Neurospora crassa OR74A: one gene and its partner. The protein of the gene in region 1 interacts with the protein of each later gene in a pairwise test. Links are inferred from orthologs where the notes say so. Each region holds a gene or a part of one and is shown in the gene's direction. Other genes may lie near its edges.

What was found.
Region 2: the proteins of hat-2 (region 1) and NCU03095 interact in binary tests that used the Saccharomyces cerevisiae proteins (3 or more experiments, as listed by UniProt). The link is inferred for Neurospora crassa OR74A from reciprocal best matches to the Saccharomyces cerevisiae genes TAF1 and TAF7.

Annotation. Positions count from the first base shown.
Region 1 is NC_026501.1:2,719,678-2,724,238, forward strand, and holds the start of hat-2 (histone acetyl transferase-2), read left to right. Parts: upstream 1-1,743; 5' UTR 1,744-2,120; coding exon 2,121-4,561. Other genes in the region: NCU16368 (hypothetical protein), read right to left, coding at 1-71, 144-341. UniProt on the Saccharomyces cerevisiae protein: Functions as a component of the DNA-binding general transcription factor complex TFIID. Binding of TFIID to a promoter (with or without TATA element) is the initial step in pre-initiation complex (PIC) formation.
Region 2 is NC_026501.1:4,523,310-4,527,720, reverse strand, and holds NCU03095 (transcription initiation factor TFIID subunit 7), read left to right. Parts: upstream 1-1,586; 5' UTR 1,587-2,069; coding exon 2,070-3,761; 3' UTR 3,762-3,983; downstream 3,984-4,411. Other genes in the region: NCU03096 (bromodomain associated domain-containing protein), read right to left, coding at 1-16, 109-511.

The DNA of each region.
Region 1 (4,561 bases):
ATGGTTGAGACGATTAGCAGGACGGGAATGGTGAGGTGGTTTCCGACTTGGAGGCGGGTGAGCTCTGTTGTCTATATGTTGTTTACAGTTGTCAGTGACAGTTTTGTTTTGTCGTTTTAATGGGTCATGATCCATTGTTGTACCTTGTGGGTCTTGATATGAGCTCTCCATTGCAGGCCAAGGTTTTCGGCTGCTTCGAGCATGCGCTCACAGTTCACCATGACCTGTTTAAGGTCAAGGACGACGCTGGGCGTAGGGACCTCGGACAGCTGCTTGCCGACGAACCTCGCCCTTAGAGCATCTTGCTTTTGCTTCAACTCTTCCATTACGGGGTTTGCCATGGTGAGCAGTGTGGTATTTTTGCCCTCGAAACTTCACTTGGTGTGCGAGGTAAAGAAAACGGTGCAAAAGGCGATGACGAAGCTGCTATGGTAGACGCAGTATGACTGTGGCCCACAATATCGGCTGATTTGTTACATTCTTTAAACCACCTAATCCAGTCATCTCAAGAAAGAGGAATAGTACCTCTAGTAGGTAAATGTAGCTTTGGCTTTACCGACAGCCTAGTACGTAACCATGGCTTCGGCCGTGGCTTTAACACAGTTTCCCACTGTACGTCAAAAACACCATTGGTAGTGAGTGTACTGTTGCTGAACTTCATGGCCCTGCCAGTTCGCAGGGTATAACATCCGAACTGTCATGCCAAAAACGGGCTGAGCACTGGTATGGGCGTGCGAGTGTGGTTGCAGAGAAATGAGAATCCAGAGAGACTGGAAATGACATCTCGCATCAGTTCAGGTGTGTTCTGCCCCCCACGTTGCGGGTGACATTGTGGCCATTTGGCCCGAACAGAGAGGGAGACGGGACTTAAGTTGCGCGTCACTCTACTGTTGTAAGAGATCAATTAATCAGTATTTGATTTCGCTCTCGATTCATGTCTCTTCGCCTCCAACGGGGTCCTATTCCTTCTGTACCTGCCGTTGATTTGGTTGTCACACAAGGCGGGGAAGCTTTAGTTCTTCCTCCATATTCTTTACTTTACCTGGATGGTACTTGTAAGTTGTAGGTGAGGTCGCATACCGTATAGACTCGGGGCGTTGGTTTTCAACTTTCTGGGAAATCAGGCCTAAGCTGTAAGCATACTGCAACATTCATGCCCACCAAAAATTCTATGCAAGACGGTGATTTTGAATGTCTCCACGCTCCAGCGCCCTTGAAAAGATAGGTGTTTTAAGGCAGGACATTGAAGAATCGAATTTACCGTGCTTCGGGGTGGCAACATGGAAGTCTCCTCCAATTAATTTTGTGGACATAAAATGCACATAATCGGGCAGCATGCTTACAGGTTATGCCTGATTTCCTAGGAAGTTGAAAATCAACGCCCCGAGTTTCCAGGTTGTACAGTTTAGGTATTAGGTACCTGGGCTACCTACCTCTACCTCTACCTGTACCTACCTACCTATTCCAGGTTCCTTACCAGATTCCCAAAGCAAGTTCCAGGTTCAACGCTACCTAGGTATTATGCTTCAAGACCAGGGACAGTGTGCGCGAGCCATTCACTGCACTTAGCGTCCCCCAGTCACTGCCCTGGGGCTGCTCGCTAGGTATCTAGAATAGGTAGGTACCTAGGTAGGCTGTCACACGGCTGCCAGACCCGGGCCCGGTCAACGGACCCACTTAGAGGTACCTAGAGTAGCCGTGCAGTGGCCCCGACAGGCCGATTCGTTGTTCGCATTCAAGCACGCTTGCACTCCGCGCAGTGGCAGTGTGCTTCCTTGCTTGTGGGAGGTTCAACACTTTTGCAACTTCCGCTAGGTACCGTTGCAACCTCAACGTCAACCTCACCCTCGACTCACCCGACGGCCATTTCGACTCTGCCACAACCACGACCCAAAATTGCATGCGGCGTTGCCAACACCCCACCAACACCGAACGCGCGCTTGGTTCACTTTGCTCCCCCGCCGCGGGCATTCTCGACGATTTCTCCGCTCCAGGATCATGATCTGACAGCTTAACCGGCCGCGCAACCGTTGGAGGGAGCAAGAGAGAGACGGGCGGACGACTGCGCGACAGACGACAACACACAGCGTTGAGGCGGCATCGCCTCTCCGCCCGGCAAGATGCCCGCAGACAACGACGACTTTGATTTCAACGCCCTCAATGAGGAAGGATGGAAGGAGCAGGAGGCCCGCGATGAGGAAGCCATTCGCCAGATCAACAACAGCTTCGGCCCGGGTGGTAACGATGGTCTGACTGAAATGCTGGGGAACCTCCAGTCGGGAGGCGAGATCGATCAACGAGGCAAGGCAGACGATGCCATCGACTTTGAGGACATCGACTTGAGCGACGAGGACGAGCTACCCAACGACGAACCGAGCACTTCCGGCACCAGTGGCGAGCTGCCAAGCCTCATCGACGACGCCGGCACTAATGATGACGACGACCTCTTTGGTGGCGACCCCTCATCGCCCATGGACACAGCTCACGATGGCCTGAGATCCTCTCCCCCGCCGCTCGACGTCCATGACGATGTTGATGCCAAAAAACGTCCGGATGCTGCCGCCGGGGAGTCCCTTGAAGACCTCCGGAACCTCAACTTCGACAATGACGAAGAGCCGCATGCGACAAATCAAGATCCCGACATTCCTCCGCCAGCGGAAAACTTCATCGACGCCGTCAAGCAACTATTCCCCGGTTTTGAGGAAAACGCCATCCTGCATTGGAACGAACTATTGAAGCCCAAGAATGCCACATGGATCTCAAAAAAGCCCCCCAAAGCTCCCAAGCCCTTGATACCATCAAAACTCAGTCTGGAGTTGGATGCCGATCAGGAAAAGCAGTTCCGGATTCCGGGCCCTGCCACTGGCTCCGTTTGGCAGAGGATTAAGGAAGCGGAAGCGAGAGGTCTGTTCTGTCTCGAAGAGCCAGAGCCTTTGGAACAAACCGATCTGGAAGTATTCAGCTTGGACGACGAAACGGATTCGGAGAGGATAGGTGGATATACCCTCCAGGACATAGCTACGATATGTCAGGACTGGGAACAGATGATTTTCTTGGGCGACAGTCTTGCGGCTGCCATCGAGCCGGGACCGCAGCCGAAACCTGACAACATGCTCATTAAGGATGAGCCTGATGAAGAGGCGGACTGGGATGCCATGTTCCTCGATGAGCCTGCTCAAAAGCGGAGAAAGATCGAAATTCCTAAAGGTCTTCCTCCTATTGCTCACTTCACGGCTCCAAATTTGGACGAATTCGAGCAGGTCACTTCGAAATTGGGCAAGCGTGTCATCCTTGACATGAACGACCCTTATTTGCTGATAGACGACGTCGAATCTGAGCGGTCATCTAAGCGGCGAAAGACCCAACATAAAACGGTCCGCTTGGCGAATGGGAAAGCTGGGCGGGACCTTATACAGCGGTTCAATTTCTCCTCTGACGCTGCTTACGACGCGTTGAAGGAGAACAGCCAGAATAGGGTTCGGGCCACGTTGGCTACTATCCCTGTCGAGCACAGTTTGCCTGCGCAGAGACTGTCTTGGCCTTACTACCGCGTCAAGCTCGCGGCCAGTGACCCTCATAGTTATCACCGGCCTCAGCTCCACCCTAAGAAGGATCTGCAGTATCTCATCAGGTTCGACAAGCCTGCCATTATCAAGCGCAAGACTCTCAAGGGTAAACGCGTCAGCGAGGTATTTAAGAGTACTCATGACCTCTCCCTCAACGACAACTCGACCGCTATCCTTTTCGAGTACTGCGAGGAAATTCCCACCGTTCTCTCCAACTTTGGCATGGGACAGAAAATCATTAATTACTTCCGTCGAGCTAAAGGCGCTGATAGCAGACCTGAGAAGCGTGAGCTTGGCGAGACTTGTATATTGATGCCAGAAGATCGCTCACCCTTCGCCATCTTCGGTCACGTCCACCCTGGCGAGGTCGTGCCTACTCTTCACAACCACATGTTCCGCGCCCCTATTTTCAAGCATAACCCGAGGAATACAGACTTCCTGATTGGTCGTAGCAGTACCGGCCAAAAAGGCTCAACTTGGTACATCAGAAATATCGATCATCTTTACGTTGTCGGCCAAACCCTGCCCTCCATGGAAGTCCCAGGGCCCCATTCCAGACGTGTTACAAACATTGCCAAGAATCGTCTCAAGATGGTCTCGTATCGCCTACTTCGCAAGAGCGAGCATGTTACCCTCCATGATATTACTAAGCATGTAGCTGAGTCCAACGAGTCTCAGAATCGTCAAAAGTTGAAGGAGTTCCTGCGCTTTAGAAAGGAAACAAAAGATTGGGCGCTGCCCGAAGGCGAAGAGCTAATGGCCGAACCGGCCATTCGATCTCTTGTTAGGCCGGAAGAGGTCTGCCTATTGGACGCCATGCAAGTGGGCTTGCACGAGATCGAGAAGGGTGGTTATGATGCTACCGATTCCCTCAAGGACGATGACATTGGGGTTGATGTGAACGATGAGCTCTCTCCAGATGCTCTTGCCAACAAGATGGCGCCTTGGAAGACTACCAAGGCATTTCTTGACGCCAGTCATGGCAAGGCTATGCT
Region 2 (4,411 bases), about 1.8 Mb from region 1:
TGTTTTAGCTTGAGAGCTATAATAGATAGACTGCTGTTAGCTGATCGGATCGAGTCTGAGGTGAACTTATCTGCCGGGACCTGAACACAGGCAGAAGATTGAACTCACCATTGAGATAATCCGTCGCCTCGTCACTGTCAAGCGCTATCCTCTTGATCTCCTTGTTGACCGGACCTGCTGCCCACGCGACAAAGGCGTCCACTCCCCGAGTGTCTTCCACGCCGTTATACAGCTGTTCCAGTTCCGATTTCTCGGGTAACAGAGCGCCGATTTGCTGCAGGGCCATGCGCACGTCGACTATCGTTGGTACCAGCTCGCCCGTCTCGGGCTCTTCGTTATTGTGCGCGGCGAAGGTGGCTGTGAGGCGACAGAGTGCGTCCAGGTAGCGGGCGGCCATATCAGTTACTGAGTCGAGGACAGAGGTGCGGGCGCCGTGGTAGCCGGCTGCGCGGAGGATCTGGAGAATCGAAGGCCGGAGGAGGGCGTGGTAGAGGTATGGTGGGGGTGTCATGTTGGCGAGAGTCGCTCGGTTTCAGCTAGGTAGGTTTGATGTCGAGGATGGCGTCGCGTTGCTCGAGAAATGTCGTTGGGAAAGGTTGTCGTCTACAAAGGTGCCAGGTCTGATTGGATATGATACAATCAAGAGGGTAGGTGAATGGGCGCGCTGCAGATCAAGAACTGCCATACGCGCCTGGCCTCGTGCACTTGTTCTTCGTTGTCGAGACACTGTCTGCGAGGTTTCGTGTCTTTTTGCTTGTCGATGCAGTGGGGACGACAAATAGTCAGAGTCGGAGACTGATCAGCTATACCAAGAAAAATGACTTGGGCTGAACCGTGGCGATTAGCAGCGCGTTGCTGGCAACAGATGGAAATTGGTTTTCCTCCAATTCAATCGCAGGCGACGAGGTGGGTTAGGTTTTCGAGGGAGTTTGCGGGCTTGCGGCAGGCAGCTCTAGTGGGGCGGGGATGGGTATCGTCACTGCCGTGCAGTGTGTTCTTGGAACTGGGTCCCTTCAACGCTCGCCGGAGGTGAAGGCCACTGCGTAATATCGAAGAAGTCACAAGCCGACGAAGAGTGCCAATGCATGCGTATTAGGAAAGTTTTGTTTGTTAATTATGGTTGACAATAGGGAAAGGAAATAAAAGAGGATTGGATGAAAGACAGAAGGCATAGAGAGTTTCCGGGGTCTTGGCGGGTGAAACTGAGGAGGCATAAAAGTAGGTCCACATTGTCACGGCATCGTGCTATATTCAAAGTAGTATAAGAGGTAAAATAGTATCTTGGAGGAATACAAGCTTCTTGGCAATCCCAAACCTTCTTCTCACTCGGGCCAGTCGCATTGATACCTCTACACTAGAATGGGTGATTTTCATCAGGAAAGCACATGTCAAGTCGAAGTACACAGGACGTTCTGGAACAGTTGGACAGCGGCACGTTTCTATTGTACCCCACCTGCCGCTGAGGAACCGTAGTGGAGTCTTGAAAGCCAAGCTCCGATTTGGACCGTGCAACGACGGACTTTAGCTAAAGGGGGCCCACCCACTTTAACATTTCCACGCTGACGCTCGTTGCATCATTTCCACTTTCAGAACGCGCTTGTCGCAACAGCGGCTTTGATAGCTGCACCGAGCGCGCCTCACCTCCCGCTTTCCTCCCCGCCCACCAAGAAACCTCCCGCTCTCGCCCAGGCCCGCCAAAGAACGCGAAGAGCATACCTCCGCCGTACCTTGTTCGATCCACATCCCCCGGTAGCAACAAAGAGGCATCGCGCCTGTCCGTCATCACCTCGCCCTCATCGAAATCTTGACGGTCAAATCATTGTCCAGTCACGACCGGCCGCCCATTCTTAATACCTAGAGGTCACCTCGTACCGGTGCCTCCCGCCCGATTCGACGCCGACTATCCATACTACCTACGCCAGTACTCAGCGATTGAGCATTTCCTCCGAGTGATCTCTGGATCATTCGCTTTATTCCTCAACGTCCTCATCGTCACACGACCTCAAGACGCCGCAGCAAACCGCTGAAACGGATTACCAGAGCGCCTTGCGCAACGACAAACAGCAAACATGGACCCACCAGGGCCAGTCAAGCGGACATTGACGCTCAAAATCAACACTCAATCCAATGGCTCATCTCAAGCAGGCAGGACGGGATCACCGGCAGTTACACCTGGGCCTGGCCATAACCTCTCTGCCGCCTCGCCACCTCCTCAGACACCGGGGGGCTCACAGGGCCCTCGCAAGATCAAGCTCAACGTCAAGGGCACGTCCTCACAACCACCAACACCAGCCGGGCCGAGACCGCCGTCGCATTCCAACACTTCATCTCAGCCGACACAACCACGGATATCAACAGGAAGCTCGGCTGCTCCCAACATCTTCATGTCCAAGCCCAAGACGGCAAGTAAAGTCTTCTTGAACGCGGCGGCGAGAAAGAGACCAAGAGAAGAGACCGAGGCGGAGGACGGTCCGACAGCGAATGGCATTGGGGGAGAGTCAAGGCCCAAGAAGATCACGCTCAAGGCACCTTCGGGCACAACCCCAGTTCAAACTCCGCTTCTAGCTCCCAAGGTTCGCCTAAAATCGCAGGGCAAAATACCGACGCGGCCGCTGGGGGAGGGTTACGATTCGGAGGCCGATGATAGGGAAGTCGACCCAGTAATTGAAGAGCAGCTGATCTTGCGCATGATGCCTGGTGAGCACTGCGACTATCTCCGGAAAGCCGTGGCTGAAAGGAAAGTGGGCGTTCCTAAACATCAAGGTGGCGCCGATGTTACAATGAAGTTTCTGGATGAAGAAGGACGGCGAGTAATGTTTGTTATTCAAGGGCAACCGTACGCCGCTATTCTGGTTGATCTACCCACAATCACCGAGGGCATGAAGACGTGGGATAAGAAATCCATGGTCAAGTCAGCCGACATTTGCCAAATGATCCTTGTCTTTGCTAAGGTCAAAGACGAGGCGGAGGCCAAGTCGGTTCCTTTACCCAAGGCTGTCGAGCATGGCCACAGATGGCCCCATGGTATCACCCCGCCGATGCATGATGCACGAAACCGGAGGTTTAGAAAACGCCTCAGCAAATTGGAAATCCAGAACAAGGAAGCCGAGGTCGAGCGGTTGCTGGCAGCAGACAGGGAAGCCCTCAACTCCAGGTACGAGCTTGTAGCAGAGGGCGGGCACGGAAATACCGCTGCGCCCGAGTCCGATCACGAATACGGTGACGAGGACGGAGGCATGGGAGGCGAAGAAGACCGACTAGAGGACTATTTCGGGGACGCAAATATGCAGAACCAAGACGACGACAACCTGTTCGACGATCTCGAGGCAGAATTCGAAAACGCGGCAGACACACCTGCCGAAGCAATGGACGCCATGGACTTTGGCGCTGCCACGCCCACGGCGTTAGGCGGCGGCATGGATCTTCCCACACCCCCCACCGCCAACACGGGTACGCCTACCGCTGCACAAACCGAGGAGAGTGCGGCCGAAGCAGTCAGCGAGGAGGACGAATCAGATGAAGACGACGAGGATGATGAGGGTGACATGGACGATGACGGCGATGAAGAGCGCCATGATGAGGTGGCGGGAGTCAAGGCTGAGATTGCCACACTGAGGAAGCAGCTGGCCTCGTACGAGGAGCAGTTGTCCAAGGCAACAAGCATTATCATGAAGAAACGTCTGGAAGGCAGTATAAAGAACATCAAGTCGGAGATTAAACTGAAGCAATCTTCGATTGGTGAGGTGTCCGAGGAAGATTGAAGGGGGTATCCAAGCTGTGCTGTTATGGACCTGGAATCTATTTCAGAGAAAGGATTATCGTATGGGCCATATTATATCATGCTAGCCAGAAACTCAGAAGTCAGTGAATAGCAGCAAGTTGAGAATGCCCAACGAGCGGCACAAAGAAATGGCACTTGTTAGGCAATATATTTACCGATGCTTGGGAAGCAAGCACACGAGCAAAATTCTGACCTGTTGTCCAAACATTCAATAATTTATGGTTACTAACTGAATCACATGTATTTGTACAGAATCGTTTTTGGATCTAACCATAGCAAATGGCTCTCTGGCTGTCCACTCCAGGGCTCTCAGGCCCTTCACCCTCCTGAAGCCGTATATAGTTTTCTTACATTCAGGACAATTCCCCCATGTCCATGTCCGCTTTCGTGCCCGTAGGTAGCCATACCATGAAGTCGTTCTTGGACGGTTGGATGTTAGTACACATACGAGCCCACCACATCAACTCGGCTGCTGCTGCTGCTGCTGCTGCTGCTGCTGCTCTAGCCGTCCCTCCTTCTCTCCCTTCACGTGCTCCCCCTCTTCTTTTTCTTCCTTCCCACCCATCTCCTCCCATGTTTCGTCCTCGTCCTCCCTCGGGCCTCTGCCTCTCGAACCACCACCACCCCTCA